Linked DNA regions of Drosophila melanogaster. The protein of the gene in region 4 interacts with the protein of the main gene of each other region in a pairwise test. Each region holds a gene or a part of one and is shown on either strand. Other genes may lie near its edges.

Region 1 (3,874 bases), on a different chromosome or scaffold from region 4:
ACGTGTCCTCGAGTCCTGGATTTCCGCTAGCAGTCCCACTTGGCCTTTTTTGCACGCGCGTCTGTCTGCGAATGTGTGTGTGTGGGTAAGTGGCCTACGAGGGGCTTTGTCGCCTTTTGGCGCGCTAAGTGCAAGAGCACCTACCTCTCTGTTCGTCCTTGCGTCTCCAGTGGTTCCAAGCAAATTAATTATTTGCAATCGCGGGGGGAACTCGCGCTTTTCGCAATTTTTACCGCAATTTTTCAGGAATGAACGCTTGTGCTCGCTAAAGGTATAAGTTTTTCTACACAAAGGGTCTCACTATGCGGTTATCGATATTTAGTGTGGCCGTGGATAAACAGTGGTATTAAAATACTGACTTTTTCAAAGCACTTTTGTATTATGTTTTAAATTTAAAAATTCTTTGGATTTTGGTAAGCTCAACTTAAAATGTATTAGGTTTTTCTCTTAAGCCGTTACATTCCTAAAAACCCTCTACTCAATACAAAACTAGTTTAATTAAACGTTAGAATTAAAATTTATTCGCATTACTGTTTACACAAATTACTGCATTAGTTTTAAGAAATGCAATGTAGAATTCGTAGTCAAAATTGCACTGTTTACAAAAATTGGAATATATTTGTATCTAAACTGTTCTTAAACATATAAGCCTCCTGTGCGGAGCCACAGAAATATTTGAAATACATATTTAAATTGATTGCGGTAAAAAAGTCGAGGGAACATTTTCTACAATTGTAACCTAACCGAACTAAATAAGATTGTTGTGCCTGGCCAAGGAACGTACATAACTAACTCAGTAAGTGAATCGTCTTTTGTAGCGGTGTTAGTCCATATGAGCTATGGACTGCGGTAGATGGAGAAGCCATATCGAAACGAAAGGGAGCTTGGCTAGCTGCAGAAGACATTTACGATGGAACGAGTGGGGATGTTGTTCGGATGTTGCGTCCTCCCGGCTCTACTTGCCCTTTTTCGACTCCTTCTTTTTGCTGCCGGACGAGCTGACGCCCTCGTCCTTCTCCTTCTTCTCCTTCTTTTCGGGCTTCTCCTCGGGATGATCTTCATAGCTGCAGTGGGGGCGAGAATGAGTTAGTTTAGTTTCAAGTCGAGCGCCCAGCGCAGTCCACACTTACGCAAAGAGCACCTTCAGCTCGCCGCGGATGAGGGCCACCAGGAGGGGCGTGCCCATGCAGGCTGGCACCAGGTAGAGCAGAGCCGGCTGCGCATGCTTGAACACATGCATCACGAAGATGGTGGCCAGCAGGCCAAGGAAGTAGGCAATCAGCGTGGAGTAGAAGTAGATGCGCGTCTTGCGCTTCTTGCTGTCGTCGAAGCGCAGCAGCAGAGCGATGAAGATGCCCGGAATAACGATGTCGCCTAGTCCCAGCATTGCGAAGTTCGAGGCGTTCAGGCCGTTCTCGATCAGGTCCTGGGGGAACACTAGCTTGATGGGCGCCTCGAAGCTCTTGGCCACGGTGACCATCACGTTGGTGCCGAATACCCAGAAGATGTCGTAGAAGAACAGGCCGCTCAGCAAGATGACGCCCGTGACGAAGTTGTTCAGGTGCAGCATCTCCACGCCGTTGATGGCGAAGGCCAGACCGAACAGATTGTTGGCGATCCAGTGCTTCTTGAGCAGGTACCACACTCCGATCGCCGAGGAGATCACCAGGCAGACAATGTCGTGCGTGGAGAACTTGTAGTTAACGATGTCTTCCTTGTGCTTGCCCTCCCCCTTAGTGAACAGGATGTGGAAGGGCACCTTCGGCACGGCGGCGGGCATCAGCGAGTTGATCACCGGACTGAGCAGGTGCGCCAGAGCAATAACTCCCAGCACGAAGAAGTAGCCGGTGAGCAGGTAGTTGATGTGCACCTTCTGGAAGATCTTGAAGAACAGGTACAGCCCGAAGAGGGCTGCCGACGCGATCAGCGGGAAGTACATGGCGTCTTTCTTGGTCATCGTGTCCGCCTTCTCGCCCGTTGACTGCAGGGAGTGGGAATTACGGGAAACATGTTAATGCAGCTTCCGGGCTGAGTCTGCTTCACATACCTTCTTCAGCTTGTGCAGCTTCACGGAGCGGATGGAGCCGAAGATGATGGGCAGCATGGCCATCACCACCAGGCTGCTGTAGGCCACCGCCATGCCCTCCGGAGTCGAGGGCTTCTTCTCGCCCGGCGCCGACTCGTTCTTCGGCGCGTTCACATTCTCGATGATGCCCTTCAGCACCTCCTTAACGGTTCCGATGACTTCCTCCGCCATGCTGTGCTGTCCAATCCAATCCGTTCCTGAAAATCGCCGGCTTGCGGGGGTGAAAAGCGAAATGACACGCAGCAGCACACGTCAACAATCTGTGTTATCGGTACCGCTGGTCATCGTCTGGGCCTATCGGACGCACCGCAGTATACCAAAAATATACCACCCTCTGTGGTGGGGTCGCACCGCCACCAAACTCCCGAAAAATATACCAAAACGGTTGAGATTCAAAACTGATAAATCTGATTTGAAATTAGTGAATCCCGAACTTAGTTTGTGAAAACCTGCTAGCTTATCGAGCTAATTGTTCACCAGTTCTCCTCAATTTATTAATCATATGTTTGGCATTTTTGCGAAACAAAAATAAGTGAAATGGATTTTTAAGTTTATTTTATGCTGATATATGTAAATGCTTTTGAATTGATTAAGTTCTTAAGAGAACTGACTCTCGAACCTCCCCGAAGTCAGTACATGTGAGCACGGCTCCCACACAAAACCCAAATATGTCGGCTGCTGCTTTATCTGCTGCGTCGGCAGAGGAACACCGAGATATCGGAGGAGCCTCGGCCATGTGCCAAGCCGCAAACCGAGCTCAGTTCCCATTCAGATTTCGAGAGCACAGCACCGTACATCCGAAACAAAGGCGCGCTGAACAATGACGACGACTCCCAAGATAAAGGCACCAGTTTCCGGTCCTGGACTGCCACTACTGCTGCAAATGCTAATGGGGATGCTTCTTATGGGGCTGACTTCCGTGCCAGGCGCCACTGGTAAGTGTTTACGGCTCCGGAGTTGCATAAGCCGCTGATAAGTGTGATCTCGAATCCCCTCCAGCCACCGCGGACCCCAAGAACGCCAATGTCAAGGCCCTGGATCGCCTCCACGCCGGCCTGTTCACGAACTACGACAGCGATGTGCAGCCGGTGTTCCAAGGAACCCCCACGAACGTGTCCCTGGAAATGGTGGTCACCTACATAGACATCGACGAGTTGAACGGCAAGCTGACCACCCACTGCTGGCTGAATCTCGTAAGTCCAGTCCTCTCCTTCGTCCTCTCCTTCGTCTCGAGTAGCTGAGAAACCAGATAATTTCCGAGTTCCCTCAAGTTCACAACTCTGATAAGCAATTTTGGAAAGCGTGTTATCTGAACTGAACTGAAGTGTTGTTTTGTTTTGTTTTTTTTTTTTTTTGAGAGAGTACTATAAAGCTAATAAGTGTAGTGCATTTATGAATATCTGAATATCCAATCAACTAACCAGAAGCAATCGTGGTTTTCTAGCGATGGAGAGACGAGGAGCGCGTGTGGCAACCGTCACAATATGACAACATCACGCAGATCACTTTGAAGTCCAGCGAGGTCTGGACCCCCCAAATCACACTCTTCAACGGCGACGAAGGTGGCCTGATGGCCGAAACCCAGGTGACCCTCAGCCACGATGGCCACTTCCGGTGGATGCCTCCAGCCGTGTACACGGCCTACTGCGAACTCAACATGCTCAACTGGCCCCACGACAAGCAGAGCTGCAAGTTGAAGATCGGCTCCTGGGGCCTGAAGGTCGTCCTGCCGGAGAACGGCACGGCGAGAGGAGAGTCCCTTGACCACGACGACCTGGTTCAGTCACC
Region 2 (8,439 bases), on a different chromosome or scaffold from region 4:
TCGGGATCTCGATTGATAAACATTAAATAAATATTCCCAGGAAATATAAATATATATATATTTATAAAACTGCATATCCCGACTTCGTGATTTTTTGTTTCTTGCAGTCTGGTAACACTGCCAAGTGTACAGTCGTCAAAAAACTCTATAAAGAATTTGTTTTGCTGGTACGCGGCAATTGAAATCGCCACCGTAGAGCAAATTGGACGTTGTCACACAACCGGATAAACAAGTGCATTATGGCCAAGGCGAGTAAGAAGGTGGCAGAAAGTAAGCGCAGGAACGGAGTCGCCAACGAGAGCGAAAACGAGGAGATTGACCAGCAAAAGTCCAATGGGACAGGTCGATCGTCCAGGAAGACGCCGAACAAACGAAAGGCCAAACTGACTGTGGCCTCTGACAGCGAAGACAGCGATTGCCAGACCTCTACCTCCAACGTGGATGTACCAGCTGCAAGGAACAAGCGCAAGGTGGGCAAGGCCAGGAACGCCACCACTTCGCCCCGCAAAAATGGCAAAAAAATCGTTATAGAGGATTCGGATGATGATGCTAATCATTCCGATGTAGACCCTAGTGCCGACAGTTCGCCAAGGAAGCCAAATATCAAACGCCAGACACGGCGATCCGTGCGCGGTGAAACGGAAGATAGCAATGAACTGCCCTCCACCTCCAAAGCCTCTGCACATGCATCAAGTCCGATCAAGAAGCGCAAGCTGAGCAGGGCTTCGACTTCTTCCGTCAAAAATGGCAAGAAGGTTGCTGAAAAGGATTCGGAATCCGATGTCGATGCTGGAACAGAGGATGAGAAATCAGCTCAACCCCAGGTGAGACATCAATTCGAGAAATCAAAAAATACTAGACCCAATTAGATATTGAACCCTCAGTAAATTCTACGAAATTCTAGTCAGCAATTACAAAACATTGAGACTCAAAACCTTTCGAAAAGGTTAGATTATGATGACTGTACTATTATTCGAAATCATTAGCGCTAACTGGCGTACATATAAAAATGTATGCTTTTAAAACATTACACTGAAACGCTGATGAGAAAGTGTAGTCAGTTGAGAGTAATTTCGTTATATGGCGGTTATCTTGGCCAAAAATGCCTCATACTTTAAGATTCATTTTATTTATAGGACAGTATTTTGATCAATGAAGTCCAACTTTTTTATCTTTGCTGCTTTGCAGAAGGTTGCAGCTAAATCGAAGTCCTCGCCAAACGCTAAGAAGGCTAAGGGACGTGGTCGACGGAACGCCGGCACCAAGAAAGCCGACGATTCAATCGACCCAGAAAAGCAATGGGAAGTCGAAAAAATTCTTGATCACGTTGCCACCAAGGAGGGCGACATGTTTAAGATCCGATGGAAGAAGTATGGACCGAAGGATGATTCCTGGGAGCCGAGTAAGAATCTGGCGTGCGATGCGCTTATCGAAAAGTTTATGCGGAAACAAGCAACCCAGGAGAACGTGGACGTTAAGGAGCTGCGCGAATCGCCCAAGAAGACCGAGCGCCTCGTCGATGAATGCTATCCCAGGACAAATCTGCACAATCGTATTGAACGCTCCTCGAAGCGCTCTTCCGCCAAAAACCGGTGCGTTTAATATCTCTATATACACAATAAGGTTAGAATAACGACACAGCTGTGAAGTATTAAATTCAGTTATTCCTCAGTTGATACTTTCAGTTTATATTTGCCCGTTTCGTTGCTTAATTTCACGCATTGTGTCTGATTTCTTCATTATTTTGTTTATAGTTTTGATATCCACACTCAACCATGTTACTCATATGTCAATAAACCTTTATACTTTCAGCATTTTCTACGGCGAGGAGTGAGGAAGGGCAACAAGGAAGGAAATCCATGTAGGAATTTAGTACACTTTTTTTTTTTTACATATAATATTACAACACATGCGGACCGAAGTACGCGGAAAGGTGACCCATGGCGGCTCCAGTTAGATTTTAACGGAAAATTTCCCTTATCGTTATTGGTTTTAAAAAAGCTCGCGGGCGGAGCCAATCCACATCATGTCCACAATCCTGACTATTGGCGGACAACTTTACGGGCAACACAAATAACTAAATATTAAATTCGGATTTTAGTACATAAGTAAAAAGGACAGGCAATCGACTGCATCACAGTGCGTACATACATGTAGTATTATATCTGGTTAATTGCACTCAACCAGCGTAGAATGTAAGGCATCATTTCTGTAGCTTTAGTTTTATCCTTTGAGTAATTGATGTTTGTATTGGTCAATTGCCACAGCTGAAAATAGCCTCTCAACTACTCTTCCAATCATCTTAATTCATAATATTCGTTCTTACGTACGTACGCCATTGTACATACAATTATAATGAGCGAACATTATAATTAGTAATGGAACATGCGTACGTATGCAATAGTAAACATCCATTATAATTAGCAATGGGAACCTGCCGTTTCCACTACAAAATAAAATCATTTATTGGTCAAGATATGAAAAACGCACATTTGGCTTGCATTGGGGTTCTGGCGATCTTCCACATCTAATTGAATGTACTAGTATTCTCGAGTTCGTTGGGAGTTATTATTTTATGTGTAACCTTTCAAAATGGAAACTTTCCAATGGAAAGTGAGCATATTTTTAAAAAAAAATCCAAAAATCCTTTATCAATGACCTCTATAAGTTGCTTAACATTTATTTAACTTTCGTTCGACAATCAGTGATAGGTTCTGCTCCTTGCTCATCCTCTACAGACCGGCCTGCAGACCAAAGCCAGGACCCTTGGGCTCCTCGCTCAGGGAAGTGGGCTCGCCCTTTGGCTCGCTGGCAAAGCGTCCGTTGCGTGGCCCAGGGGGCGATATCTTATCCGCCTTCAGGTCGTTCAGGATGTCCTGCATGTCCTTGGATGTCAGATCCTCCTGCAAAGTAAAAAAAAAACGTTAGCAATGTTTGCACAATATAGAGTCGATTTCAGCGCATTAAGATTGAAACGCTGGACGAGGCTGAGAGTGAAACTGGCGTTTCCTACAAACAAATGACCAGGAAACACATTTAGCAATTAGAATTGCTTACATAGTAGTCATCGTTGATCGCCACCATTGGCGCATTGACACAGGCGCCCAAGCACTCGACCTCCGAGATGGTGAACTTCCTGTCCTTGGTGGTGTCGCCGACGCCGATGCCCAGCTGCTTCTTGCAGGTCTCCAGGATGTCGTCCGATCCGCGGAGCCAGCATGGTGTGGTGGTGCACACCTGGATGTGATACTTGCCAGTGGGCTTGCGCATGAACATCGTATAGAAAGTGGCCACCTCGTAGACGCGCATATTGGGCAACTGGAGAATCTCGGCCACCTTGTGCATGGCAGAGATTGGCAGCCAGCCGTACTGGCGCTGTGCCAGATCAAGCAGCGGGATCATGGCGCCGCGCTTGTGCCCCTCCGGATAGATGCTGAGTATGGCCTCCACGCGCTTCTTGTTCTCCGCCGTGAACTCGAACGGGATGTTGGGATTATCCTCCGGTGTGTCGCGATGGACGAACAGATTGTCGCTGGCCCGGGCACTGCTGGTGGCAATTGCCCGGATGTTGGCGCGCTGCAAATAACAACACATATCCTTAATGTTATTGTTTTCCTGTCGCCAATTATATAACTCGGGGAACAGGTTGCCTTCCCTGGTTGACACCGCGAATTACTGGACAGTTTGGATGGCTGCGCTACTCACCACGGCGGCCAGTGTTTTGGAGGCACAGTTTGTCAGCATTCTGGCGTTTCCAAAATAATGAAAAGGCTGAAAATTTGCTCTTATGTTATGTGAAGTCCGTCGGCTGCTGTCAGTTTTTTTTTAACAAGCACCGCTTACAGCTGATTTTCGGCGGAGCGTTTGCCAACACTGGCACTTGTCGTCAGAGATGAGCAAATCTCTACAAATCTTGTACAACATTAATAAAAAAAAGCTTAAACAAATAAAACTTGTAATTAAATTAATATTCAGCGGTACGTTACATTTTTTTATTCCTTTTTAAAATAAGTTTTCTAAAACAGTAAGCGATATATATCGCTGTGACTTCAGTATCTATGACACTTTTCAACAATGATCGCTGTGCCTTAGCATTCGATATCCGATAAATTACTGAACGCGCAAACTTGTAAGCTTATCGGGGGGAAACATTGAACGGACAAAATATGGAAAAATATCCACTTGTCAAAGAATTTATGGGGCAAAATTGGCCAAAAGATACCAAAATGGCGCAGCTCGAGAAGGAACTCAAGAAAAGGAAAGAATTGATCGTCGAGGAGCAGAGTGAGTGGGCATAATGCGCGAATCTCCAAGTAAGATTTATACATACATGTTTCTGCTTGTTCAGTTGTAGGGCCGCGTTTGGAGCAGGTGCTATTCGACCTGACCTTGGTCAAGCAGTGCGCCTTGGTAGTGGAGGATAACGGTGCCGGTATGGCACAGGCCAACACCATGATACAGGACTGTATGTTCCAGATCACGCGAATTGAGGAGCTGCTCGAAATGGCCGGGCTGCAGGACATCCTCTACTACACGGTGCATCGCAAGGAGCAGGAGTTCCAGCGCAAAATTAAGCTGCAGGAGGATTTGGCCGAGCAAGAGAATCAGCAGAACACAATCCTCGAATCGCGCAGCATCGGTAAGATTTTGTATGAGGTATTATTGAATACGGAATCCATTTGAATGCTATATAATCATAAACAATAAAAAACATTTTGTTTAATATTTTTTACCCTATGTGATAGTATAAGTTCATTTGTGTTATTTAAATGATTCTCAAGTAGCTTCTATTTCAGTCCAGGAATTCCGAAAAGAGCAAGCCTTAAAAAAAGAGGCAGATAAGGAGCTAGCCTCAGTGGACGACCAACTGGACCAGTCGGATCGCGAGTGGACAATTACGCTGAGAAGTATGACGGATAAGCTTAATAAGAAGATAGTCAGCGTTTTACAGATGGGAAAGCTGATAAACGAATTGAAGGAAGAGGTGAGTAGCTGCGAAATATCCATTCCAAGTGAATAACTTTTCCGTTTTTCAGTTGCAAAAAAGGAATTTGATTAAAACGGGTGTCACTAAGGGCGCTGAACCAAGTTTGGCTGGTGTTCCATCCGCTAGCACCATTTCACCATTTCAGTCCGCTTCGGATTTCCTCAACAACTTCATCTTTAAGAATATCAGACCAGATGACAATAAATCCATGACGAGCGTGAATAGAGAGATCACTACTAAGAAGCTGGAGACTCCTCTGCGATCCATTTTGATCAAATGCAAGGAGGTCGAGTCTGTTGCCATTTCCAACTCGCCAACAAAGCAAGTGCGTTTTTCTCCCTATCCAGAGATAAGCCATATCGAAGAGGAGAAATTTGAGAAGACCGATTGGCTTTCTCCTTCAGAAGAGGCAGGTGTCCCAAATGCGGAATTAGAAGAGGACAGTGACGAAATGGAGGCCACAGACGAAGATTTTGAGGAAATATCAGAAGAAGAATTCGAAATGGCGCTGAAAGATGAAGGATTTGAGCAGGAGGTAAAAGTAGAAAAGTCAGAAGAGGTTTTGCATCTAGAACAGGATAGATATGATGAGAAATCTGGCTCAGAAGTCGAGGAATCCGTATCGGATGACAAGGAATCCGGAGGGGAGGCTTCAGGAGAGGAGGAGCCGGCTGATGCGGCCAAACAAGTAAAAATCGGCGAAAACCCGAAGACTGATGAGCAGCTATCCAATGAAATTTCCGATAAACCACAAATAATTAGAGTCGACACTCTCTCTCCCTTCAAAAACATATCTTCCTGGGCCAGCGACGATATACCCAGCACCTCCAAGGGCACTCTTAATCGTTTTACTGCAACCCAGTTTATGAACTATGGTAGCAATCGCGATGAAAACGAGGCGCCGCCTTGCAAGCGACTAAAATTGGAGGAGGAGGAGTTCCCAATGAGCCAACCAATGCCGGATTACTTTAAGCATCCGTCGTCCACATTCAACAACTTTGATGATCAATCACTTCGATTCAGCTCGCCCCACAACAATTTTGACGATGATTACCTGCTGAACTTCAGCGATGATAATGATGTTACACCTACTGCCGCCTCGGCGTACATACTTTAAATTGTTAACGTATTTTGGTCAAAAATTAATGTATGTTCTTTATAAGAACGGACAATTAATTAATATCCAGATACTTATTCATTCATTGCCATTTGCAATCAAAAAAAATTTCACTTCAGCTAAATTATTTGTAGCTTTATAATGAAATTAATTTGCGTACATAATATGCATATGTACATTTAAATCATACGTATTCAGTTCGAAAGTGCCGTTTCAGACTTATTCTTCATTTTGTCGTTGCTTATAAACTAATAAAACAATAAATTAAGACAAATTCGTGACTTTAAATATTTAATTTTACTGCAAACAGTAAATTTTACCACTTGCAATAAAATACTTTTCTCATTACAGCATATAAATCTTTATTAAAAATGTATATTATAAAATAGGGGAATATGAAGACTACTTAATACAATACATAGTGTAAAATACATTTATATATTTAATCTAATATATATTTAACTTTAATATTTCATTTGTAATTCTGGGCGCCAATGGTTTGAGTCCAAGCTTTAATCGATTTGGTATATTTATGGTTTGTTTTGGTATTTGTCAGCATGCATCGCGCTTAGTATTTTAACCCATGCTGTCGATACCACGAGTTTGTTTTACAAAAATTGAACCAAAACCCAAAATAAATGGCTCGGAAACGAAAGATTCCCGTGCGCAAGCACCACGGCGTCCGTGATCCCCTCAAGCAGCTGGAACAGAAGGAGAAGAAGTTTGTTCATAGTGGCAAGTCAGTCGAAAAAGGCAGCTAAACTAATATCTGCACCATTTCACATTTCAGACTTTCCAAAGTAACGAACAATCCGCCTGTGAAAAAGGATGAGCAGCAGGTGTCCTTTAAGTTCCGTCAGTTTCAGCAGCTTGCCAACGCCACCAAATCGGGCAAGAAGCTAAGATTGGGCGAAATTGGACGGGAGGATAAGCCCAAATCCTCTCCAGGATCCAAGCCTGGCAGTAGTTCCTCCTCAAAGGAAACGCGTAACATCAAGCAGTTCGCCAACGAAACGGACGAGGATTATCTGCGCCGAGTGAATCGCATGACCAATGCATCCGTACGGGAAGCCCACTACGAGGCCAAGTATGGTGTGAACGTGATCAGAAACCCCAAAACCGGGGAGATTACTGTCCAAAAGAGGCCGAAAAACGAGATCGACGAGCTGCTCAAGCAGAAGCAAAAGGAGCAACGGCTGGCGGGCAAAAGGGGTCGCAAAAAGGTTCAAGTCGTACACAAGCCCATGGATGCGAAGACCAGTCGCGAATTGGTGAAGAGGGCCTACAAGGAGGCCCAGCAAGAGGTTGATACCGAGGAGAAGCAGAATGCCGGGCCAACAGAATTCAAACAGGATGCTGTGGCATTTGGTGAGATCGTCCATGCCCCACCTTCCCTCAAAATCCTGCCGCGCAAAGCGGAAAAAAGTGAAACCGTGCCGCGTCCAGGACGCAAAGCCAATCTCCTTCTAAAGTCCATGCTGAATCCCGACCAGGGTCAGTCAAATCGTGGGCCGGAGGACGACGACAGCAGTCGACTAAAGCTGGCTGCCCAATCTAAGAGCGCCTTCAAAGCACCCACCAAGGCCCAGATGAAGGGCAAGCGGAAAGATCTGCCCTTGGCTACGAGGTCAATGCTTGAAACCGAGCGCAGCAAAATGGTTCAGCTATACCGTCAGCTCAAAAACAAGACAACAGCAGATTCCTAACAGATTCTAGACTAGATACCAACGTACTTTTTTTTTTACATGAAAACAAGTTAACCTAATCCCTTAAGTTTCGTGAATGCGTTTGCTACCCACTGAAGGTCGTAGTTTCATTATAGAATGTTAAATATATTGATGAGATTTTTATTAAATCTATTTTCATACAAAATAAAAAGTGCACTGTTTAATTCCACTATTTCTATCAGTATTTCATGGAGGTGGTAATTAATATGGAGTCTTTTGGCAAAAAGAAAAAGGGCACTATTATGTTGATATTTATAGATACAAAAAAAGTACTTCACTTGCTTATGCAGACACTCACATTTTTTTATTTACGTATAACATTAAAAAATATAAATAAAATTTAGAGAAACTAAAAAGTGGCGCTAAATATGACAGTATGACCAGATTTTATTAGAAACCCACGTTCAGTTTTGTGCGGTAGCTGTGTACACGCTTGGACTTAATCAACACTGCGCCTTCGGCCACACTGGTCGTGACGGAAATTTCTGAAATTAATTTATTTTAAATTGACTTTTAAGCGTGATCGTTCGCCGAAAAAGTCGGCTAAAGTGAAAAGCAATAGAAAAAATTTAAAAAAATTGCTATTAGCGCAGTAGTCAACTACAATT
Region 3 (8,119 bases), on a different chromosome or scaffold from region 4:
GTCCAGTTCGCTGAGCACTTGCTGCTGCTCGTAGGAATTCACCAGAGACTTATCTTTGTTCTTCTCCTTTTCCGCTTTTATTCGATGATCGCTGGAGCCCTTCAACTGAAGAGGATTTCGGTAATTGTATCATTGAGTTATTATAGTCACAATTATATGAAATACCTTTTTCTTTGGCTGCAGCTCGGGCAGCTTTTCCGCATCCGTCTGAAGCTGGGCAGGTGAATAGTTGACCCCCATCGCCACCTCGCTGGAGGCCGCTCCCAACGTGGGAGTGGGCGGTAAGCTGCAGGATGAGTTGCTGGAGGAGGAGAACATGGTTATGGCAGCCGGAGCAGCACCCACAGATGGTGGCTCCTCCTTAACAACAGCAGCGACGACGGGAGGAGCGGCTATGGCCGAACTCTTCTTCGATCCCTTTGACTCCTTGTGATTGGACTCCAGCAGGGCCGGAGCTGGCGAGGAGTGGTGGCGGTTCTTTGACGACTTCGAACGCGACCTACTTCCGGCGGAAGTGCTGCTGCTGCCCTTAGACGAGGAGGAACTGCTACTTTTACTGCTGCTGCTCTTGTGACGCGACGAAGACGAAGACGACGTGGTGCTGGATGAACCCGCAGCAGCCGGATGCTGCAGTGAAGCCGAGCTGCTGGACCCGTTCGAGCAACTGGAGAGCGTCGAGGCCGAAAGCGTATCCGTGGGCGAACTTGGCACGATAGCCCCGCCCTCCTGACTGATTTCCGTGGCAGTGAGACGAGAGTCGCTGGATATGGCTGTCCCATTTGGATTGGGATTCACTTTGCTGGATGTGGCCTCCCAGACGCTAGGATGCTGCAGCGCAATGTGGTGCTGGAAACCTGCCTTCGTGTAACATCCCGAGCAGGAACTACAGAGTACTATATCGCGACTGGCCAGCTTCGGCGCCAGATCGTAGTAGGCCATGTCCGCCGATTGCAGACGCTGGACCTGCACCTTCGCCTGTTGATCTGCGCCGGCGGAGGAGTTCTTTCCACCACGCAGATACGTCTTCTCAGCCGTTCGCAGTTGCTTGATGACCTTTTCCATGTCGAAGACCTGCTGCCACTTTTGGCCCTGCAGGCTAAACAGGGATAGTCCCGCCGATCCCGAGCCGGAATTGGAGCCGGCCGACGAGTCCGGCTTCCACATTCCCGACACCTTGTGCTTGGTTCCATTTTCCGGATAAGCTCCACCACCGGCGGGGGCCACATCGTTCAGGGGCATTCCGGATAGAAGCTGTGCTCGCGGGATCCGGGGATTCGGTACACTCGAGCAAAATTGCCCCTTAAAGCACCTGCAAAACAGGATTGATTTATTAGTTCCAGAGAAACTTTGATAGTGACAGCTTTTAACTGATACTGCAATTCATCGCTGATAAAAAACACAAAATCTGGGGCTATGCACCATGAACCCCGGACCACGGAATCCCTACGAAATGCCCATGTTAAAATCATCACTAGTTTTCATACAATAAATTCGTATATTCTATTACATATACATATGTACGTGGTTTGAATCACCACCAGGCGTGTTTAACCCTAAAACTCAAATTTAATCTTATAAGTATATCTCAAGAAGATTACAACTTTATTAGATTTAGATTTAAGGTAAATTAAAACAAGAATAATCATTTAGAATTAATTATTTATTTTTTCTTTATTTTTTTATATTATAATTAAAATTTTTTGGTGCACGTTAGGATTAACATAAACAGAACCATCGTTATAATTAAATGAATAGATATCAGCAGAACCCACTTATACATATACAACATATCCATTGACCACAGGACCCTGACCCTGAATACATACATACATACATATATAGATTTTATTAGCAACGGAAAAGTATTGGACACTGCACAAACCACTTGTGGAGGGTGTGAAGACTGTACGTCTTGGAGTATTTCTATGCGTATATTGCCATTTTTGAATGAATCTCGAAATTTAACAAACTGTTGTTTTTGATATCGTAAATTTTCAGCGAAAGCTTACAGGTGAGTGCTGCCCCCGCCCCCGCGAGCGCCAACCCCTCGGTACCCGCACCCCTTGGTCTGGATCAGCTGTTTTTGACAACCGCTACTCGAGTGGCGCCGTCTCGCTCGCACTGCCGCACACATGCGCAGCCACTCACACCGACGCACAGCACACTCACGCACTTACCCACACCAATGCAACACAAACAAAGCACACGATTGAAAATCACAAAATAAAAATCACTTAAAATGCTCGCAGGCAATTTTAGTCGAATGCCGAATGATATCGGCATTAAATGACACTTACGTCGTTAACACACTTCCATGTTTTGTTGTTTTTTTTGTGGGTTTAGGTTACCGTTCTACCCTACCCGTGGATAAATCGGATTTTTGGCCGGCCTCCGTGGAGGAAAATGCCAGGTCAACTCGAAAAAGACGAGTTGGTTGTATAGCCTAATTGATTCTGTAACGAAATCAATTAAAGCTTTCTAGTTTGTCTCGCTTTTTCGAGTTTAAAGATTGATATTATGAATATCGTTGTATTTGCTTAGGGATGGCAATTCGCGTCTCGTTACGTTACGTTGTATTTGTTGCAGCTGCAGATTAAGTGCGATATGTTATCGATAGTCGCACAGGTATTCGTTGCATACGTAGCCGATATATTAATTACATGCATTTCCGCTGAAAAGTCAGTTGAATATATTTATGAATTAAAATCTTTTTAAAGGCGATAGAAAACTATACTTAACATTTCCTATTTTTACAAGCGTTTATTTGCTGGCACAAACTATAACCATAATTAAACGTAACATTAGTCATCTTCATCACTAAGCTCATCCTCCTCCTTTCTTCTGGACTTTTGCTCCAGTTCCTTGGCGTAGAGATCCTTGAAGGCTTCGTATTCCGGCAGGGTGACGTGGCAAATCTTTGTGGCGAAACTCTTCTCGGAAGTGTCTGTAATCTGATAGAGTTTGGGGTTCGTAGTCGGCTCATTTGGATCGGCTTTCGGAGGTCGTGGCTTAAAGAGGCCCAAACGAAGCAGGAACTGGTGGCGACAACGCAGCTCCTCGAATGACAAGGTAAGGGCTGCCGATTTAACCAACTCCGGCACTTCTATGCGCATCACGTCTGTGATGAAGTTCAGTTTCTCCTCAATAGATACCTCGGATTGTGCTATCAAATCCGGACTGTTCATCAAACACTTCCACACATTTTTGCTGGTGGAGACGCGACTTTGAAGGAAGCCGATGTGGGAAAGTAACTGGTGGGAGTCGCTAACGTCCAGTAACTCGGGGTACTTCGTAAGGAGCAGGTGCAGTAGATTCTCGCCGAATTGACAGGCCCTCCAGATTTCCAGGCAGCTTATTATTTTGTCCGGCGTTCTTTTCAAAATCGCGGGGTTACCGGTAACTATTCTAAGGAAATTCACGGTTTCCAAGCCGTGGTTTTGAAAAGTTTGATGGGCCCTTCGCCAGATTTCAGGTGAGAATACAGCTAACGTGGGTTCTATTTTGATGGCTTCATCGATGTGAATTTGTTCAAGCTGCAATATCTTGGGCGTTGCCAAGTGCCTTATGTGATGTAACTGGAAAGTAACAATTTGTATCTAATTTCTATCTAATGCATTCATGATTAACTCACGTTTGACTGTTGTTTTAATACAGCTTGTGTGTTAAATAATAGTTTCCGCAACATTTTTGGCGATGTCCTCTTAAATCGGCGAGCAAAACAATGAACAGCTGATCTCTTCTTCTTTGCAATGACAGTTACCGAGAAGCGTGAACAACGGCATGTTTAGCTGGTACACCCACCATATTCGTCTATAGCTTAATTGTCTATTAAATCGCACGCATCGAACTGTTATTCTCGTCGGGTGCACAGCAAATTGTTTATAAATAGAACTGTCGCGCATAAAAAACAACAGTGGAAAGTTTTATCGTTTAGTTCTGCTACAAGCTCAGCGTAAGTTTTTTTTCTTTATTTTGTACATATGTGTGTATACATGTGTGTGAGAGTTCAACTATAGCATAATTATAATCAAACTCTGAAAGAGATATAGCTTAATGTTATAAACTAAGTACTACCCGGCTTATTTAACCAAAGAATTCAAATTATTTGTCGCCATTTGGAACCGTACAAGTAAATACATACATATGTATGTAGAAAACGACATGTAAACTGATCGATACACTGATAAAAATTTATATTCAAGTGAAAAAGCTTAAATCAAATTTATAAATGGATGTGAAATGTATTTTTATATTTCTTTTAAATATACATAAATCCATACACAAAAACCCAACTAATAAATTGTTGATATTGAAAAGGAAATCATCCAGAAATTAATCAAGAGAATTAAAATGTTATTTTTGTAATAATCTTAAAAGCTCTGTGTATCAGAGCGAACGTGACAAGTGTTTTTACTTAATGAGGAAACTATTGGCCAGGAGAGGAGGGCTCGTTCGATCAGTGATAACTTTGAATTCCCGTACAGGTGGCATCCAGAATAACTCAAGTAATGCTCAAACAAGGTCAAACTCAATAACATTGTGAAATAGCACAACTACTTCTGGTCGATTTTCATTCAAACAATTGGAATGGGATAAACTGCCGGTGGGGAGTGAGATAAAGCGTTCAATTCTCTCGCATTATTTCTGATAAGGAGGGCTCTCTGTGGATTCCACCCATATTTAACTAACAATCCACTCGGCTTGCCACTCATTCGCAGCCCGCTCCACAATCCAGCAACATGTCGAAACTCATCCGTTGGGGAATCGCTTCCGCCGGCAAGATCAGCGAGGACTTTGTCATCGCCCTCAGCACCCTGCCCTCCAGCGACCACAAGGTCCAGGCTGTAGCCGCCCGAGCTCTTGATCGCGCCCAGGAGTTCGCCACCAAGCACGGCATTCCCAAGGCCCTCGGAAGCTACGAGGAGCTGGCCAAGAGCACCGATGTCGGTGAGTAGAACTTAAAGTTCATAAACAAACTGTTCAAAAAAATCTTTAAAAAATGTAATTATCCCCAGATGTGGTCTACATTGGCACCCTGAATCCCCAGCACTACGAGGTCGCCTTGCTGATGCTGAACAATGGCAAGCATGTTCTCTGCGAGAAGCCGTTGGCCATGAACAAGAAGCAGGTGGAGGGCATCCTGGCCGCTGCCAAGGCCAACAAGCGCTTCTTCATGGAGGCCGTGTGGTCGCGATTCTTCCCCTCGTACCAGCGCGTTAAGGAGCTCATCTCCAGCGGACAGCTGGGCCAAGTCAAGGATGTGGAGGTCAACTTTGGCTTCCCTATGCCTCATGTCGACCGCTTGCAGTGAGTACACAGATCGTTCATAGAATAACAATTACTAATAGATCACATCACTTAAAGGAAACGCGAACTGGGAGGCGGTGTGGTCTACGATCTGGGCATTTACACCATCCAGGTCTCGCAGTGGGCCTTCCAGGAGAAACCGGAGAAGATCGAGTCCAAGGGAACCCTGAACGCCGAGGGCATCGACGATGATGTTAGTGCCACCTTGACCTACAGTGGTGGGCGCACTGCTCGCATGCGCTTCTCCTCCAAGGAGAAGTTGGGAAACACCGCCGTTATCAAGGGCACCAAAGGACAAGTTACCGTACGTAATCTAATCGATCGTGATTGAAGAGTAGCTAATAGTCTAGTCTTATCTACCAGCTGATTGACTTCTGGTCGCCCAACAAGCTCATCGACATCGATGGCCAGGAGAAGGAGTGGCTGCCTCCCAAGGGCAAGTACGCGACCAACTACGCCAACTCCGAGGCCATGCGCTATGAGGCGGAGGCAGTGCGCCAGTCCATCATCGCCGGCGAAGTGGAGAACAAGAACGTCACCTACGCCGACAGTTTGATCTTCGCCGAGATCGAGGACACCATCCGCAAGCAGATCGGTGTGCTGAACAAGTACGATGAGCAGTAAATATAGATTATATAGATAAACGTGTAAACCTAACATAATAAACAGAACTTTTTACAAAAAATATATATTTCAAATAATTATTTTAAACGAAAGCAATACATTTTAAAGTCCTTAGCAAAAGTTGGACTTACTAAAAGTTGGACCCCCTGTTGTATTTTTTCAATGCCCCACTCTAGATCAAGGATTAGCAAACAGTGCGATAAGGGGAGCTATTGATTGTGGAACGGCAGCGATGACATTCCCACTAGGTCGAACTGGGGTGTTACTAAAGTGCCTGACTTGGCAGAATTCCCGATCACGTTTCTGCCGCATGATACCGTCTTTTAATTTAGGGGCTGGTAAAAAAAAGCGCAGGGATTCCTTATCTCAGGGTTCTCTAAAGTCTACCCACATATCTCTAATATAGATTATACCACCAAGTCTGTTCTAATTTATATTACTTTTTTAAAAATTCTTAATATTCCTATGCTAATTTTTGAAAACCATCTATAAGCTTTTTAGCTCTCATTATTATCTAATATTTGAATGTTTTGTACCCCAACTGTACTTTTCACAAGTTTAATAGTCATTTTGTAGATAACAGTCAAAAAAGGGGGCTCGTCTTTGTTCTGAGAGATAAGATAAGTGCAATTGCGTAGAATAGTTCTATAGTACTTCATAGCAAGGGTTCTTTAGAGATTCGAAAACCGTGTGATCAGTTTGGAAACACTACGGGCCTTAGCAATAGAAACAACCTATGGTTCGGAGTCATCAAAAAGGATAAGGAAAATGGATGGTACAAATTCGGAAAGGTCTACGTTCTATAGGATTTATAAGAAAACGAGAATCGTAGCCCGAAAATGCAACTATAGAGCGCCAGTGTGCGGAACTGGGTGGTTCCTTATCAACCGGAATGCAATGGAATACGAAAATTGCAATGAATGCAGATGCCAGGGACTGATAGGAGACCCTCGGGACTAGCACTCAGTATCATTATCATGGCGTCAGTAGCTGCCCGGACACGGGCCCGCGCGAGACTCGACTCGTCGAAAGCAGAACGGATACCCACATAGCATTCAGCACATCTGGAGTCGTAGCGTCGCAATGCAGAGCCAGGCGAATCTGAACTGGGGCATCGCGGCAGCGGGCAGGATAACGCAGGACTTTGTCACCGCCCTGGGAACCGTGGAGAAGTCCCGTCACGTAGTGGTGGCCGTGGCCGATGTGGATGGCCAGCGAGCGCAGCAGTTCGCCCAGAGGAATCAGATACCCAGGCACTACGATGGTTTCGATGCACTGGCTCTGGATCGAGAGGTGGAAGTGGTGTATGTGGGCACCCTGAATCCATTCCACTACGCTGTCGTCCATCTCATGTTGGCCAGGGGTAAAAACGTGCTCTGTGAGACTCCCATGTGCTTGAGCGTGGAGCAGGCCAAGGAGCTGTACACGTTGGCCGAGCAGCGTGGAGTGTTCCTCATGGAGGGTAATAGTATCTATAAGCCCACTAAACAGAAGTAGTAGTTGTTAATGGTTTGCTTTCAGGCATGTGGTCACGCTTCTTTCCTAGCTACGATCGTCTGAGGGAACTCCTGAAAAACGACGTCATTGGGGAGGTAACCCAGGTTAAGGTACAGCACGGTTTTCGCCTGGCCCATATGGAACGGGTGTGCAACCGATCTCTGGGCGGTTCGATCCTTATGGACATCGGCATCTACGCCCTGCAGCTGGGTCAGTTCGTTTTCGGTGTATCTCCCGTCAAGATCCTGCCCAGCGGCACGCAGCTCAACAAGGAACGCGTGGATGTGCAGATCGACTTTATGCTGGACTATGGCGATGGTCGTCGACTGGTGGCTCTAGTAACCGGACTAGAGAATCTGGAAAACGATGCCGTCATCACGGGCACCAAAGGCGAGATTAAGGTGAGCTTATCTCCGTGTATTTCCGGATCTGACCCCTGGATCAGGGGATTATCAATGCAGCTGTCGTAGCTCTACTGTGTACCTCTTCCAGCTGTCCAATTACTGGTGCTGCACCCAGATTAGCCGCTCTAATGCTCCTCCCGAATCCTGGCCTCTGCCGCGGGCCAAATTTGATTTCCACTACACGAACACCTGCGGACTGAGATACGAGGCGGAGGAAGTGCGTCGCTGCATAGAGAAACGCCTGCTCGAGAGTCCCAAATTCACGCATGCCGAAAGTCTAGAGTTAG
Region 4 (8,495 bases):
CTTAGCAGAAGGAGCGACGGCCAATGTGAAGTACCTTCCCAATTGTCTGATTAGCCAGCAGCCGATGTTCCTGGCCGCAGTGTTGGGTGCACTGCAGCAAGAACGATTGCGTCACTTGCACCGCAACTGGACTGATTTGGTAACCTCCTCGCTCAATTGCTTCTCCTTTGGCTCACTCACGAATATTGTGATCAGCGTAGTGCATCAACTGTGCAGCAATCTTGACCGCATTTCCAAGATGGGTCTACCACAGCAGCGCCACTTTCCTCCGGATTATGTGGTATCCCAACTGGAGGCTTTAACCATCTTGTGTCACTACTGTTTACTAGACAATACGCAGCAGACGGCGCTCTCACATCTGTTTAACCAAGCTTACCCGCAGACCAGCTCGTCGGCGCAAAGTTCCAGCACGGGTCAGTTGCTCAACAGCATCGTTCATTCGTTCCTCTCGGCCAGCGAATCCTCCACTTCAGCGCCTGCTCCACGGAATCCCCAATTGCAGGCTGCTCGCAATGCGGTCCTATCGCATCTTCCAAGGATAATGAGCAGCGTGGCTGCCATATGGGACAGCGAGCTGGGACAACTGCGACCGGTTCGCCAGCAGCTTCTAGAGTTCCTATCTCCGGTGTCCCTGCATCACGGGTCCAACTTCCTTGCGGCCGTGGCTGTCACCTGGCAGCAGCGGGGAATCGCAACCAATATGAACGGTTTAAGCATCGCAGAGCAGTTCCAAAGGAATTCCGTGCTGCAGGCATGTCCTGCCCAACTATCTTTGGTTTCACTAGTATCCAGCATACGTGTAATGCCCATGGACTCCTTCGTAATGACATTGCACCATGTTGTGCGCTCACCTCCGCCAATTCACCGGCCACCTGCCCAGCTAAGCATTGAGGTGAGTGCTCTGGAGCTCTTCTACTTCTACATGAAGTCGGCTCCAGCTCCTCAATTAGCGGATGCCTGGAGCTCGCTGCTGGCCCTCATCCGCGATGGCTTGAATCTGACACCACCGGCGCAGTTTGCATTGCTTATGCTACTCAACGAGTTTGTCCAGCGCTGCCCGCAGATGCCATTCCAGGACAAGAAGGAAGTGCGTGAGCTGCACGATGTCACCTCTCGATTGGTGGACTCTCTCTCTAGCGTGGCTGGATCCTGTCTAGAGCAGACCACCTGGTTGCGTCGCAACCTGGCCGTGAAAGAGGATACCGATGGGCTAGCCAAGGATAATAGTGTTGGAGGCGGAGGTCTACAGCAATATTCGTTGCAGGCTCAGAGTGTTCTGGCAGCAATACTCTCAAATCTACTGGACGTGGCCTATGGTTCCCAGGAGAAGGACAAGGTGGTGAACATAGTGACGCCGCTGCTGTACAATATTACTCCGTATTTGAAGAACCACACTGCTCGGAATGTTCCCTTTTTCTACGCCTGCTCTGCCCTGTTGGCTAGCTTAAGTGGCTACCAGTACACCAGGAAGGCTTGGCGAAAGGATATGCTGGATCTACTGCTGGACAACGCCTTCTTCCAGATGCATCTCTCGTGCCTGCCCTTCTGGCGCATGATCATGGATAGCCTGATGACCTACGACAACACCACGTTCCGAGAGCTGATGACCCGCGTCTCCCTCTCGCAGGCGGGCAGTCTGAACATATTCACCTCCCGGGATCAGGAGTATGAGCAGCGGGCCATGTTGCTCAAGCGACTCGCCTTTGTTATCTATTGCAGCGAGTTTGACCAGCACAACAAGTACATGCCAGACATCCAGGGTAAGTTAACGAAATGTTCCTCCTTTGTTAGATGCTAAGCAATTAATAACAAACTTTACCCTTTTAGTATGTAAAAATATAATTACTATTTATAGCTTAGTACCATCTCTTTGGGGAATTAACTAACATCAGCACTAACATTTTCAATTCCCTTAGAACAATTGGCCAACAGTCTGCGGCTGGTTCCCATGGGTCCTTCCGTGCAAGCGGCCGTTTTCCTGTGCTTCCGTGTGCTGCTTCTTCGCATGTCACCCGACCACGTCACCTCGCTGTGGCCCATAATCATAGCGGAAATGGTACAGGTGTTTCTACAAATGGAACAAGAGCTCAAATCGGAGAGCGAAGAGAGGAAGTAAGTCGAACACGAATGAAAAAAAGTAGTCAAACTAATAGTATCATTATTGGCAGCCAACAACTGCGCCTGCCTTCTGGGATTGACGTGTCCTGGTCCGCTGCTTCTGGAGCTAGCAATGGTTACAATTCCCAAACACCGATGCAGCACTGGCGATCTGTGCAATTGGAGGCCTGCAAGCTGCTTGAATTGGGATGTGTGCTGCCCGCAACCAAACTGCCACATTTCCAGATGTATCGATGGGCCTTTGTGGGCACCGAGTTCGATGTTCACGAGGAGGAGGTGTGCCTGCCCAACGGAAGTCTAGAGAACCTGGCTACCTTGCCCAGTGCGCTGTATGTTCCGCATGTCAGACGTGTGGCCAGGCTAATGGACATGAAGTACACCAGTCAGTCACCGGTGAGTAATTCCCACTCTCATCGTATGCGTCATCTGGCTAACTAGTCCCTTTGGCTTTGTTCCAGATACTGCAACGCCCCAGCAATAGACACCTGATGTTGCACTTCCAGCAACTGCAGTCGCTGCAGGAGCTGTACGCTTTTTTCACCACGCTGGGCATCAGTTGCCCCCAGCCGCGTAACTTTGCCGATACGGAGAACGATGTGGCCAATTGCTTGAAGGAGATCGAAGAGGTATTGGCCAATGATTTTCTGGAAAAGCTGCCCAGCATAACCACGCCGAGATGAAAACCGGCTGTTGCCCAACGGCAGACGCAGTCGCAGATCCAAGCGAGTGGGTCACACTTCGAGCTCAAGCTGAACCTGAACCTAGGTATGGAGTCTGCCATGGAGTCGGGCAGTACTGGCCAGGCTGTGCGAATACTGGCGGCCGTGCAGGCTAAGCTAACTACCCAAAATGCCGAGACGAGCTTTACGCAGTCGCAAAACATCAATAACAGCAGCAACAATAAGATGACCAACTTTCCATTTTATGTCTAAGTAAGCAGATTGGAGCAGAAGACGATGCCGAGTATGATAGCTAGCTATATAGATAGAGAACTGTGTCGAGAGTATATAATTGTCCGTAGTGTGATCGATCGTTTTAAATGTTGAATGTTTAAGAACGCGGTAGCCCAATAGCCAATAGCACCCTGTATGTATATGTATGTAACCAATGTATTTAACTGTTGATAGTTGATCCCAAGTCGATGTGAGTAAGAGATGTGCGTTAACGACAAACTGCAATCAAATAAAAAACAAAGCATTTTATTGCAAACACTGAGATGAACGAACGGTGGGCTCTTCCCCGACAATTTATGTAGTGTAGAATGATAAGGACTAAACCACATTCATGGCGCGCGGTGTTTGTTTGCTGGCTTCGCTGTTTTTCAGCTGGAGGTAGAAGGAGTACACAATTCGTGCGCTGAAGAGGATCAATACTGAAAGTGTAGCGGAGAATATGTATGATCTGTACATTTTTGTTAACTCAATTTGATGTTCATAGCCGATACTTACGAAATGTGATGATGTAAACGAGCAGGGCACCGAAAACGTTGTTCATTCCGGTAGCCTCGCGATATCCTCCGTAGTGGAAGATAACCCCGAAGACGGCAAACGGAAAGGAGATGGCTTCAATGGCAGCGAAGATCAGCCAGACGAACACCAGAATTGGCTTTTCCTGCAATTCGGAAAGGTAGATTGGGTTTCGTTGACTCAATAAAACGGAATGGGTTGTATTTTATTTACCTTCAGGGTTCCTATCAATAAGCAAATATTGGCGACTACTACGATGGCAAATCCAATAAAGGTAAGAACTGCAAGGATTCAAGTGAATTTAAATAGAAATTATTGAACGTACATATTTCATTCATAAAAAAAGCCGTTACAATTAGTGGAAAGTAAACATAAACTTGGGCTTATAAGTGACTCAATGTATTCCAAGCAAAACGTTGCTGTGCTCTTATCTTTCTTCCCGTCTGAAATTTGAGAACACGACTGCTAAATGTATCTTCGTATATAATGAGTACATATTGATGCACTGATGCACTTCATGTACATGTGTACATATACATAAAGAACTAAAACATAAATTCTTCTTTTATATTTTAAACACATTTCATACATGAAATATGACAAACTTTTTAAAACAGCTTAGAATAAGGTTTATAGAACTTCTTTGAGACATGGACAAATGCAGGGCTTTAAGTGTTTTTATGACATATGGCGTTCAACTGTTAAAACCCAATAATCTTTTAAGTTTAATTCTGCGCCATGCACAGCCCAAGGAAATTATTTAATTTTCTTTTTTGTGCTGGAAAATTCAAGCCTGTGAGAAAATGGCATTTCGGGCCACCTAAAATGAATTGTCAGCTCGAATTTGTCGGCGATGTCGTCATCGATGGTGAGGTGTTGTATCCAAAATGGTTGTGAATTGGAACGCGTTTGTGTCGAATGGATTAGCTCATTCGTTTATTTCGCATGTGAACATCATGAATGTATTGTCTCTCTATGGAAATAGCGTCAGTCTGGGCAATCAGCTTCTGAAAATAAACAAATGCCACGCCTCTCGCATTTCTCCTACCGTTTGGAGCGAATATAACGTTGAAAGTCATGCTCAATAGCCAATAGATCGCGATTCCCAGGCACCAGCTCCGCAAATCGGTATTGCACGGGCCATTTTCCACCGTCAGATCGATTTTCATTTTGAAACTCTGTGGTTTACAGCGAATTTTCCAAATACAAATATGGCTAGTATGGCACTTAAACCGGTTTGGGAACACCTAGCGCACGGAAACACAACCGCACTGGGCAAGAATCAAATAATAAGTGTGGCGCAAATGCCGATGCCGCTCAGAAGAAACGGTTGCGTAAACTATGCAACACGAAAATACTTTTTTTTCGAGCGTGGAAAAACTACGTCTGATATGTTCTTAAAAAATATATGTGCACTCATTTACTATATGAATTTGTTTGCATATGTTTCGTCATTTAAGAGTGAAATGAATAAAATGGGGAATTGTCTTTAAAATAATAGAGAGATTTAATGCTGTATTATATATGTAATGTAGCTACTATTAGCACCTTGAAAAATATTATGAAAGTAAGCCGCTGCTGTGCAGTGTTAATGAATACATAAATAAATATTTTTTAACTATCATGCCAAATAATAAATGCATAAAAATATTTAAAATATAAAAATGTTATTAAAAGAATTTTAAACAATTAGCGTTAAAAAGTCACATTAAAAGCTGGTGAACAAGTCACAGTTTCGACACCAACTGCTTGAACCAGTCTGGCAACGCCGCTGTACCCAAAAGCTTTTAATTGTCAGCCAATTGCGACTTATCAAGCAATTGCAATTTTGCTGCGCCGGCGAACTGAAGTAAAATTGTCTTTATCTTCGCATTAGCACGAAATCAAGTGAATCCAGAATGCTGTCCAGGGTCTTCTGTATGCGCCTGAACACCTATGGTGTGGTCATTGGATGGCTGGGCGTGATTCTATCCTTCTTGGCCACGATCCTCTTGTCCTTGGCCCTCGGATTCGTCGATGAAATTGCGCAGCAGATCGCCAAGGGATCGGAAGATTCTAACAAGACGGCCACCGAGATTCGCAGTGGTAAGGGCTAACCATCGAGTGCACCCACAACCAATCGTATATTTTTTATTGTATTTCATTGTTCTTGCGGTTATTGCAGTGCTAATCATCGTTTTCAGTGTTTACCTGGCGCTCAAGGTGATTAATCTTCTGGCTTCGGCCATGTTGGTTGCAGGTACCGTTAAGGTAAGTCTAGTATCAATATGCAATCTGTACAATCGCGTATATATGTGTCTACTATAGTACATATCTAGAGTTAGACCTTTTTAAAAGCCCACTATTCTGTAAAAAAAACCGGCAAGTTTCTTTGCAAATACATATGTACATACACCATACTAACTAGAGATAGAGATGGTTCTAATAGCGTTTGCCTTTCAGGAACGCCATTTACTCCTGCTGCCCTGGCTGATCAACAATGGAGTGCTGCTTGTCTTTGGAATTATCACCAATATTGCAATGCTGGCCCAGATCATCGGAAATACATCTTTCCTGAGCGCTCTTCCAATCATTTTCGTGGATGTTGGCCTGCTCTGTAAGTGACTCACCACTTCATACATACATAAGCTCTATCTGGAAATGGGTATACACAATACACACTGGCCGTTGTTGCGAAATTGTGGATCCCCATTGCGCTTATCGCTCGACGGTCTGCGATCGTTCTATAATTGCGCTTGGGCACGATGCTTATTTTTCTCCATTCGCTCGTTTTCAGTGCTGACCTGGTATCTCTACTACGGCATCTACTCGCTCTTCAAGCAGATCCAGGCATCCCGTGAGATCCAGCGCCCGCTGATCCCACAGCCGACCCAGCAGACCAACTCCTATCCCAGCTACACCAAGATTTAAGCTCCAGTGTAGCTTCCCGTTTGGCCAGCTCTTATTTCATCATATCCCTTTTCGAATGTTTCCAATGGGGCTTCCCCGATAAACCCAATATTTTTCTAGCTAGTAGCACCAAAATTATATACTACGTTGTATTTCATGCATCAGAGAATGAAAATCTGTGTGTACATCATATATATTTACATTAACGCGATTGTGTCTATACGTATATCCAAACGAAATGGCCAATACAAGATTTTTCGATTGGCTGCAAAAAAAAAAATATATATTTTTTATATAAATAATCAAATGGAAAATTATTTAGGGGCTTGGTTTACGCTTCTTGTTGTAATGTTTGGAGATGCTACTATTATTTGTTTGTAATTCGAAAATGTTAATACATACCATTCCTTAAAACTTAACACACTGTGATAGGCTTTCAAACATATATTTCTACACACACAGAGGGCATAAATTAAATCGAATCTTGGGGCGGCATTCGTTGCAGCTACTTAGGTAACTATTGATGGGCCATTCTGCTGCTCCGGCGGTCTCACTGTCATTTGCCCAGACCCAGCCACATGTAGCTGGGATCAATGAACTGGGAGCCGCGGTATCCCTGCGGATTGCGCGACACCAGCGATCGGATCTTCTGGGAGGGCCTGTAGCTGCGCAGGGCCTGCAGGAGCTTCGATGTCTTCCGGTCGTGCTCCTGCTTCTGCTCGGAATCCTCCGGAGCGTCGGGCGGCACGGGCGGCAGGTGCAGTGGGTGCGGGTGTTTACCCTCCAGCATACGCGTCTCCGACTCACCCAGTTGCGATTGCTCCGCGAAGCGCAGGTTCGCTTCCAGGCGGTTGAAAAAGCCGCCCAGATTGGTCATGGCTCCTGGAATGTAGAACGAATGTCACTAGCAATGGGTTCATTGGTTAAGGATTAAATCCGCTTTAAATTAAATCAAAGAATCCAAATCCTATCCAATACTCCATTACTCACCAGCACTGATCGAGGGCATATATCGGAGTGAGTCCGGAACCTCCTTTCGTTTCCAGGGCAAGGTGTAGGCGTAGGGGTACGTAAGCGGTGGCTCCTCGTCGTCGGGTGGCCAGTTGGCGGGATCCCTCTTAGCCTTGACTTCCGCAAGTGGAGGAACCGGAGATTGCCACTTGTGCTGCACCTGCAGCTGCTTGCTGCGATGCTGGAGGTGCCACTGGCGACCGAACAGCGTAGGATACGGGTCGAGATAGCTATCTCCGAATTGGTTATCCATTTCCGTTTCACTGGTTTTCGGCGGGGCATTTCCGCCATCGAAAGGGTAAAAGTTGTCCAAGGTGCGTGACGTCATCGGCGCGACCGACTCCCTGCCCTCGCTTCCAGCGAAATCCCAGTCCGGATCCAACTTCCAGTTTCGGTCCCACTCCGGCGGAATTTGACGGTCACGAGCAGTTGTTGGTGATGTCGCTATCGCCACCTGTGCACCGCCGAAAGGTGCGTTTCGTAGTGGACCTGGCGGTGGAGAAGCATATCGGCAGACGGGCCCATTAATTGTGTGTGCTCCCGCAGGATTTGGGGTAGTCACTTGGGTACAAACAGGGTTGGCTTCGCCAAAACTACATGACATCCAATTTCCGCTAGTGCCCTACAGATTTTAATTAGTGATAGGCGCAATGGCGGCTAATAAAAGGTCAGGTTTCAATTTAGAACAATTGCCGAGAAATGAAAAATTGCCGAAAATGTGAGATAGTTACGATAAAGTTTGCCCCATGGAATTGATGTCATATCTTCCGTTTAATTTCATAAGCAGGGAAGAACAACTAACTAGTTGTCGTAGTAAAATGTATTAGTCTCAGTTTAAGTTTATAAGCTATTTAGTTTTAATTGTTTTTTAGATTGGATAAAAAGTAGTTAAACACAGTATAGCATAATTAAATAACTCTTTGTGCATTACATATACTTTTAAATTGGAAATTTTTTGATTTGATTTTTGATTTGATTTACTTAAACAAACATCACTATTATTAATCTCTT

The links.
Region 1: the proteins of CG15083 (region 4) and Spp interact in a two-hybrid assay, tested with the Drosophila melanogaster proteins (one large-scale study listed by BioGRID).
Region 2: the proteins of CG15083 (region 4) and ND-24 interact in a two-hybrid assay, tested with the Drosophila melanogaster proteins (one large-scale study listed by BioGRID).
Region 3: the proteins of CG15083 (region 4) and CG15390 interact in a two-hybrid assay, tested with the Drosophila melanogaster proteins (one large-scale study listed by BioGRID).

The regions. Positions count from the first base shown.
Region 1 is NT_033779.5:542,286-546,159, forward strand, and holds Spp (signal peptide peptidase), read right to left. Parts: upstream 2,369-3,874; 5' UTR 2,258-2,368; coding exon 2,048-2,257; intron 1,982-2,047; coding exon 1,131-1,981; intron 1,065-1,130; coding exon 956-1,064; 3' UTR 501-955; downstream 1-500. Other genes in the region: nAChRbeta3 (nicotinic acetylcholine receptor beta3), read left to right, coding at 2,907-3,021, 3,086-3,279, 3,531-3,874.
Region 2 is NC_004354.4:17,627,727-17,636,165, reverse strand, and holds ND-24 (NADH dehydrogenase (ubiquinone) 24 kDa subunit), read right to left. Parts: upstream 4,078-8,439; 5' UTR 3,987-4,077; intron 3,913-3,986; 5' UTR 3,745-3,912; coding exon 3,706-3,744; intron 3,577-3,705; coding exon 3,058-3,576; intron 2,904-3,057; coding exon 2,733-2,903; 3' UTR 2,657-2,732; downstream 1-2,656. Other genes in the region: CG8289 (uncharacterized protein), read left to right, coding at 240-824, 1,189-1,592, 1,813-1,834; corolla, read left to right, coding at 4,167-4,284, 4,349-4,639, 4,797-4,984, 5,037-6,104; CG8326 (uncharacterized protein), read left to right, coding at 6,743-6,825, 6,895-7,810.
Region 3 is NT_033779.5:2,370,322-2,378,440, reverse strand, and holds CG15390 (uncharacterized protein), read right to left. Parts: upstream 3,729-8,119; 5' UTR 3,686-3,728; coding exon 3,632-3,685; intron 3,576-3,631; coding exon 2,802-3,575; 3' UTR 2,744-2,801; downstream 1-2,743. Other genes in the region: Atxn7 (ataxin 7), read right to left, coding at 1-105, 166-1,239; CG3609 (uncharacterized protein), read left to right, coding at 4,740-4,947, 5,016-5,307, 5,365-5,611, 5,671-5,931; CG3597 (uncharacterized protein), read left to right, coding at 7,015-7,399, 7,453-7,829, 7,921-8,119.
Region 4 is NT_033778.4:18,831,650-18,840,144, reverse strand, and holds CG15083 (uncharacterized protein), read right to left. Parts: upstream 4,883-8,495; 5' UTR 4,754-4,882; coding exon 4,633-4,753; intron 3,866-4,632; coding exon 3,798-3,865; intron 3,730-3,797; coding exon 3,567-3,729; intron 3,491-3,566; coding exon 3,390-3,490; 3' UTR 3,303-3,389; downstream 1-3,302. Other genes in the region: CG15099 (uncharacterized protein), read left to right, coding at 1-1,760, 1,917-2,112, 2,169-2,511, 2,577-2,798; CG15098 (uncharacterized protein), read left to right, coding at 5,483-5,669, 5,749-5,834, 6,027-6,180, 6,361-6,494; CG15082 (uncharacterized protein), read right to left, coding at 7,030-7,355, 7,464-7,973.